Mus musculus: one gene and its partner. The main gene of each other region encodes a partner of the protein of the gene in region 2 in a complex. Links are inferred from orthologs where the notes say so. Each region holds a gene or a part of one and is shown on either strand. Other genes may lie near its edges.

Evidence for each region. Proteins that work in one complex are often made in the same cells at the same time.
Region 1: the proteins of Kcnj4 (region 2) and Tax1bp3 are in contact, whole or in part, in a crystal structure (PDB 3GJ9), measured with the Homo sapiens proteins. The link is inferred for Mus musculus from reciprocal best matches to the Homo sapiens genes KCNJ4 and TAX1BP3. Residues at the interface, in NP_004972.1 of Homo sapiens: Arg440, Arg441, Glu442, Ser443, Ala444, Ile445; in NP_055419.1 of Homo sapiens: Leu27, Ile28, Leu29, Gly30, Phe31, Ser32, Ile33, Gly34, Gly35, Asp38, Gln39, Gln43, Asn44, Thr58, Arg59, His90, Asp91, Arg94, Leu97, Thr98.

What each region holds. Positions count from the first base shown.
Region 1 is NC_000077.6:73,175,650-73,179,392, reverse strand, and holds the start of Tax1bp3 (tax1-binding protein 3), read right to left. Parts: upstream 2,311-3,743; 5' UTR 2,090-2,310; coding exon 2,051-2,089; intron 1-2,050. Other genes in the region: Emc6 (ER membrane protein complex subunit 6), read left to right, coding at 2,690-3,022. UniProt on the Homo sapiens protein: May regulate a number of protein-protein interactions by competing for PDZ domain binding sites. Binds CTNNB1 and may thereby act as an inhibitor of the Wnt signaling pathway. Competes with LIN7A for KCNJ4 binding, and thereby promotes KCNJ4 internalization.
Region 2 is NC_000081.6:79,502,750-79,506,492, forward strand, and holds the start of Kcnj4 (inward rectifier potassium channel 4), read right to left. Parts: upstream 2,493-3,743; 5' UTR 2,447-2,492; intron 1,191-2,446; exon of another isoform or gene 1,166-1,190; intron 1-1,165. UniProt on the Homo sapiens protein: Inward rectifier potassium channels are characterized by a greater tendency to allow potassium to flow into the cell rather than out of it.

The DNA.
Region 1 (3,743 bases), on a different chromosome or scaffold from region 2:
CGTGACCCTGAGGGGCATCGAATGACCCTTATAAAGGGGTCACCAAAGACCATTGGAAAACAGATATTTAACATTATGAATCTTTTTTGTTTTTGTTTTTTGGGTTTGGTTTTGTTTTGTTTTGTTTTGTTTTGAGACAGGGTTTCTTTGTGTAGCCCTGGCTGTCCTAGAACTCACTTTGTAGCCCAGGCTGGCCTCGAACTCAGAAATCCGCCTGCCTCTGCCTCCCAAGTGCTGGGATTAAAGGCGTGCGCCACCACTGCCCAGCAACATTATGATTCTTAACATTAGTAAAATTACAGTTATGAAGTAGCAACGAAACTGATTTTATGGTTGGGGTCACCATAACTTGAGGAGCTGTATTAAAGGGTGTGGCATTAGGAAGATTGAGATGACTGAGAACCAGTCAGGATAGATGCAAGCGTCGACCCAGGTAGAGCAGTGTCAGAGGTCATCTGCACAGGCTTCCAGGAGGCAGATCAGTGGGGCTACAGTTCAGAGGACAGCTTTTGAAATGGTTTTAACAAAAATGGCCGGAACAGAACCAGGATGCTAACTCTACCTGAGGGGGTAAGACTGGGAAGGAGGCACCTCCACCCCATGAGCAATCCGAGACTGAGAAAGGCCAGCTCTGCTTGCTTATGTTCAGGCATGCACCTGGCATTAGGATTGGAGGACTGTGGTCTTACAGCTTTAAGGAAGACTCTGACTCTCCTGCCAAGACGGAAGAGGGTGGAAAACCTCGATGCCTAAGGTCCTTTCACCTGGGGCTTCCTGTCCAAAAGTGTAAGCTCCTCCAGGCTTACTCCCACACACACCTTCCTTCACTTCCACCAGCAAGGTCCAAAAAGAGACAAAGCCCTAACTTAAGGGAGAAGTCAGGCAGCAAAGTGGCTCTCCCTAGGTCCTAATTACACCCTCCTTTTCCAGATAGGGTCAAACTCGATGATCTTTCTGGGGCAGCCAGTGAAGGATCCTAGAAAAATCAGGCTGGTACAAATTGAGTAAAAACTGGGATATCCTAGCCGGAAGCTCACCCTCCCAAGCCACCTTTATCAGTAGCTTTGTTGCCCCCACCCTCCAACACACCCATCTAACAAGGCCCATCCCTACAGTTCCAGGACTGTGGACACAAGTCACACCTGTGACTCCAACACTTGGAAGGCTAAGAAGGGAGTACTGCCAGAAGTTCAAGGCCAGTTTAAGCTTAAGAGTAAGGCCCTGTCTGGGGAGTGATTTGTGTCCTTCCTAAAAGCTTCCTTTTAGGAAACTGGGCACTGATGCTTCTCTCTTGGGATTCAGCTGCTCAGGGTTGGCCAGCGCCCCCATCAGACTGTAACATCTACCCCTCCATCCTGTTGCCTATTCAAATACACCTGATTGATACACAAGACAAACCGAGAAGGAGGCCCTGGAAAGGTCTAGAAGCTTAAGTGTCATGCACAGGACAAACACTAAGCATCAAGGGCTGAGTACCCTAAAAAGTTCAGAAGACCAAGCCTTAGCTCTCGAGGGGTCTGTCCCAAGAGCAGCGAGGCCGGATGAGAAGCGGGAAGGGGGATGCACAAACTCTGGCCAGCCCCACCCCCTAAATCTCCTACGGCTCGGCGGCGGCGGCGGCGGCGGCAGTGTGCCGGCTGGAGCAGAGGAAACGCTTCCTCATTCCAGAGGCTGCGACTCACAGGACATCGGCGCCCGCCCCCCACGGCCGCCCAGCTGGGGACAGGAGGCCCAGGGCAGGGGAGTTTTCTAACACTCCCGCGGACCAGCCTTTCTCCTACGTCCTCCCGGTCTGCGCCTAGTAAAAGGTATCCACCCGACGGCGGCAGTGCACAGGATCTGGCCTCTGCCCAGGGTCCCGGGAGGCTCTTAGGTCCCAGCCACCTCTCCAGGCCAGGGAAGGCTGCAGCACTGTTAAGCAGAAACGGCCACCGGAATATACGCAGGAGCCCCGGGTCCTATACTTTCTCAGCCTGTCTAGATGTCAGTTTGCCGCTCTGCGAAATGGGGGTGAGCCAAGAGGAGAAGGAGCCCGCGCAAGCGCACTCACCACTACGGCGGTGACAGGCTGGCCCGGGGTGTAGGACATTTCGACCGAAATCTGTCAAGGAGACAGCGCCCGGTGAGACCCCCAGCGAGAATGCCCGCGGCCGCGCCCTCCCTGGTTAACAAAGGGCAGCCCTGCTCAGCCCGCCCCCTCATGAATACTTAAGAAGTCTCTAGCCAATCAGCATCTGGAGCGCTGTTGGGCTTTCCGGAGTCCCGGGACTTGTGTGCTGAAGTGGGGCGGGAGGGGAGAGCGCCCGAGGCGCAAGCGTAGGAGGGTGGGGCGGAGTTTGTGCGCCTGCGCAAACCGAGCCCTCCCAGCAGCCTCCAGCGCAAGATGGCGGCGCGGGACTCTCCGCTTTTTCCTGTCTGAGGGAACACGAGGGACTGTGTGCCGCGGCGTCTCAGGTAACTCCGCGAGCCTGTCGGGCGTGTGCTGATGTGCTGCTGTCCCGGGCCGGCCCGAGCCTCAGTTTCGGCGTGCAGTGGAGGTCAGAGGCCCCCAGCACGGCGTCGGAGGTCCCAGGGGGAGGAGGCGCCGTGCGCTCAGCTCGCCAGGCTTCGGGCTCCACTTGTAACTCGGTTTTCTCCACAGCTCCGCGTGAGTCGGCGTGAAGGCAGAAGCGGAGCCCCGGCGGGTGCGATGGCCGCGGTGGTGGCCAAGCGGGAAGGGCCGCCGTTCATCAGCGAGGCAGCCGTGCGAGGCAACGCCGCGGTCCTGGATTACTGCCGGACCTCAGTGTCAGCGCTGTCCGGGGCCACCGCCGGCATCCTCGGCCTCACCGGCCTCTACGGCTTCATCTTCTACCTGCTTGCCTCCGTCCTGCTCTCCCTGCTCCTCATTCTCAAAGCGGGAAGGAGGTGGAACAAATATTTTAAGTCACGAAGACCTCTCTTTACGGGAGGCCTCATTGGAGGCCTCTTCACCTACGTCCTCTTTTGGACCTTCCTCTATGGCATGGTGCACGTCTACTGAAATGAGGGCAGGGGTGACTTTAAAACAGATCGGCAAGGCTCTTGCCAGAATTAACACCGGGTAGACTTACTTAGATTTTAAATTGTTGGAATTCGCTGCTTGTTCTGTACTGTTATAATTTATATCTGAAGACAGAGCCTGTAATATTATTCTTCAGATTAAATGAAGTGTGACACCTTGTCGTTCCTTGCTTAGCCAAGCTTTGAAGTCGCCAAGATTTGCTCCCTGGAGAGCAAGTACGAGGCCACAGCCTGTATATTTTTTTGGATTTAACGCCTAGTAAGTCCAAAGGGACCTCTAGAGTATACATGAGAGAATTTAACGTTAACATCTTAAGAACTGGTAACAGTTCGTGTTACTAAGCTTTCACTGTGTACCGGCATTGTGTGTTTTCATTCTCGCCATAGCAATGGAGATGTTACTGCTAACTTTCTGTTAATGAAAAACCTGAAGCACAGAGAAGTTAGTTGTCTCTGCCAGAAGTGGCTCGTCTGGAAGGGGGCAGGGCCGAGGTCCAGTTGCAAGTCTGTTTGCTTTTGCTGGATTGGGTAAGAGTCCTCTTCTAGCACCCCCTCCCACTAACCACTGCTTTCCCACGTGAGTGAAATCAGCTAAGTTCCAGTTACACCAGGTTTAGCCAGTCGCCTTTCCTATAACAAAAAATGCAAGCTATTTTTCTAAATCGTTGTCCTCTGGCGATTAGGTTATGTGGACATTTAAT
Region 2 (3,743 bases):
TGGTCCCACCTCTAAGTTCGTCATGGCCTTTCCCAAACTCCCCCTACATCTAAGATTAGGGTAAGAAGAGCAAACAGGAGACAAGCAGGGAAGTTGAAGTCTGGCTGCTGCCCTTCCAATCCCAGCCTGGCCTGGTCGGTCTTCGGTTCTTCCCCTCCCTCCCCCAGTGCAGGGGGATCAGGCGCTGATGTAATGCACTCGGCTTCCATCCCCGTGCCAATCTCAGAAGAGAGACGACAGATTGCGTGAGCCAAATTTGGCATCCTAGGGGGAGAGGCATGAAGAGTGGGGATGTGGAGGAAAAGAAGAGCGGGGAGGGACCAGAGAAGCCCCCTGCCCCGCTGAGCCCCTGGGTGCTTCCTGTCACTTCTTACACTTCCGTTCTTACCCAGCCTATTTGGCCCGCACCCCCTGCAGGCCGACCAGCCTAACCCACCACGGACCCTCCAAGCCTGGGTGCTGCCAGTCTGCCCTCCCCCACCACGACACACTGCTCCAGCTTCGTTCCCATTGCTTGTTTCCTGGTTACCACGTTGCTGGTTGTCATGTCGCTTACATGTCCTCGTGACTCAGTGGTCCCCGCAGAGGGGGCCCCCTCCTCCTCACACCCCCCTCAGCACTCGCCCCCGCCTCCCCCAGATCCACATTAAGAACCAGCCCGCCCTGTGTAAGCCCACACAGTTCCTCCTCCCCCTCCCTCTCATCCTAAGCCCCAAAATCTTCCCACAGCATCCTAGAGTGACTTTGTCCTCCGATCCACAAATGTCTCTTTAGAACCTGCATGGTTTGGCTCTGCAAGCTTTTCCCAGGGCCCTGACACTGTATGCAAGCCAGTGACAATGACATGAAGTCCCATTCTCCACTGGTACAAACTGTGACTCAGAGAAGTCAAGCTAACTGCCCAAGGTCACCCCAGTGGGAGCCCGCGGACATTTCTGTCTGGCCAGTCACCTCTATTTTTTTTCCCCTAGGAAGATGTTTCTTTAAGCGTAACATTAGGTACAGCGCCCAAGTCCCAGGTCCCCCCACTTATGCCTAGACACCTCCATTACTGTCAGTCTGCATTTCCAGCCATATTCTTGCCACTGGTAACTACTTATTTTCCCTCAAAGTAAACTGAGTTCTTACCCCCACCCCCATCTGCCCACCCCTCTCTTCAGCCTACCAAGAGTCTTCTGCTCACAGAGCTCAAAGGCCCTGCATTGGAGGTCAGTGGGGCAGGTCTGGTGTCCCCATTCCACAGATGTGCTGGCAGAGGCTCAAGGAGCATAACTTGCCCAGTGTCTCAACTAGCTGGTCTCATTTCTGAAGCCTGGACCAAGGGATATACGAGCCTTGATGCCCAGTATGGAAAACTTCAGAAAGAGACCCTTCTTCCATAGGAGGGCAGAGCAGAATGTTCCAGGCTCAGTCCTCCCGCTCCACTTGCCCTAACTGTCCTGTTTCTCCACTTGCTCCCCTCAGAAGCCAAGTCAAGGCTACACATGGCTCTGGACTCCTAGCAGTCCTGCAAGGTGCAGGGATGGATGGGAGTGGGGGTGGAGTGAATATTGGATCCCTGGATCCAGCCCTTCTCTGTCCAGGGCTAGACACCTCGTCTGGTCCCTAGGTCCTTCAGCCTACTACTTGGAGCTCTCCCCCTCTTGAGGCCCTCCCTGTTAGGGCAGCCCAGCCACCCTGTGTGGTGCCTAGAGGGCACTGCTGCCTGCCAAGCTGGTCTACAGCTCCCTGCCCTGAAGTCTGAGTCCCCTTGCATAGTTTGTGGGGGAGGGGGGGGCAGTAGTAGGCTGACCTGGTTAGTGGGCATTCTGCAGGTGGTGGTGAAGTTCTCCTTGCTTAGAGCCCACGGCATGACTCTTTGCTGTTTCCCCTTTGCAGAAGAAAAAGCATCTTTGCCCCTCTCTCTACAGCCTTAGTTTCCACCACTCTAATCCCCGAAATGCTCCATTTACTGTTACCTCATTCCTTCAGCTACTACCGGCTCACCTACCCTGGGGTTATCTGGCACAAGGCAGGTGCTTAACACAGCAGAAGGGAGATTTCTGTCATACTCCGAACCATTCACGGAGACTGCAGGTGGGTGGTGGGAAGCTGAGACGCCCCCTTCCCACCTTGCTGCAAGTCACCTGCCTCGCAGCTCCTGGCATGGAGGTGGGCGGGGGCAGAGAAGGGCCGTCGCCAGGGCAGGAGGTCAAATCTCTGTCATCCATCTCCCTTCTATTGCCAGCCACAACCCACAGGAGACGCTCTGATGGCCAAATAAACGGAGCGCGCCAGCTTGGGGGAAGTCACAGGTCCACACTGGGACCCTTCAGGAATCGGGTCTGATGGATAAGTGCAGGACGGGTATGGCCAGAGCGGCAGGACAAACAACTCTCTGAGCTAGACAGACATTGGGACGGACAGACGGACGAAGAGTACTCGCGATGGACGAGCCCGAGCTTACCCCGGGGCGTAAGGTCCGAGGAGGGTCTGGGCGGCGAGTGTCCGCTACATCCCCCGGCGCAGTCCGGCGGGCGGAGTCCGGGGCGCCGGGCTTGGGACGCGGGCGCCGCCTGCCCGCGATGTCGCCACTGACCCAGGCGGCCTCTGTGGGTCTCGGGGTCTCCGCGCTGTCCCGCGCCGCTCCCTGCGTAACTTTCAGCGTTGCCCCGCGTCAAGAGCTGGGCGCCGCCCGGGCGGCAGCATCGTGGAGCCCGGGCTCGGGTCGAGGGGTCCAGGGGCCCAAGGCGCCCCACTGCCCGCTGTTACCCACAGCCCCACGACCCTCTCGTTGTTCAGTTCTGGGGTCTCCTGGCTCTGTGGCCACCTCGCGCCTGCCACAAGGTCCCCGCCGCTGTGCCCCGGTGCCGCCTCTCCTCCCGCGGGGCCGTGGCACCTGGTCGCCGCGCTCCGGCCCCTGCCCGGGCTCAGCCTCGCCCCGCGCCGCCTCCTCGGCCGGCTGTGTCCTTCTCTGTCTGCGTCCCTCCCACTCCCGCCGCCGCCCCCTCCGTCTGGGACCCGGTCCCCGCCGCGTCCCCGGCTCGCCCGGGAGCCTGAGCTCCCGCCGCCCGCGGCGCGCCGAGAACTCCCAACTCGCAGCACGCGCCCCGCTTCGGAGACTTTCGCCCCTCCTCACACGTGACCCGCGCCCCGCTGCGGAGGCAGCGCGCCCCGGCTGCCAGCCCCAGGCGGACCCCACCCCGGCCCTCCTGGTGCGTCTGACCCACGCGGGCAGGCCACTAGCGCCCGGGACCCAGGACTCCAGCAGGAGTCGGGGGTCGGGGACGGGGGGGGGGGGGGGGGGAAGGCTGCGCCGTCCGGTTCTCGCGCGGATCCTGCCCGGGTTTTCCTCCTCGCCCCGCCGCACTCCTACTGGAGGATCCGTTCCAAGGAGGATCCACTCCCGGATTTGCGAGGCCCCTGGGGACAGGTGGGGAGGGTTCTCCGAGCCCAGAGGAGGGTAGGTGGGAACCAGTCCTGTGGGGGTCCCGGTGGCCCTGACCCTCTCCTGGGTGGTCTGCATCCTCTCCCGAAGCTCTAGCAGCTAAGGGCCCTAAGCACCCCCACTTCAGGAGACAGAGGTCGTTCTTTTGGAAGAACCCTAATAGTGGCACAGTCTATCAGTAAGGCTTCAGTTCACAAAGGAGAAACTGAGGACCCACAGACGTCCAAAAGTTCGCAAAAGGCCACCCAGTGGAGTGGAAGTCAACAAACCCTAGTCCCTGTTTTCTTCTCATCTTACTAATCTGTCTTTCCTTTTT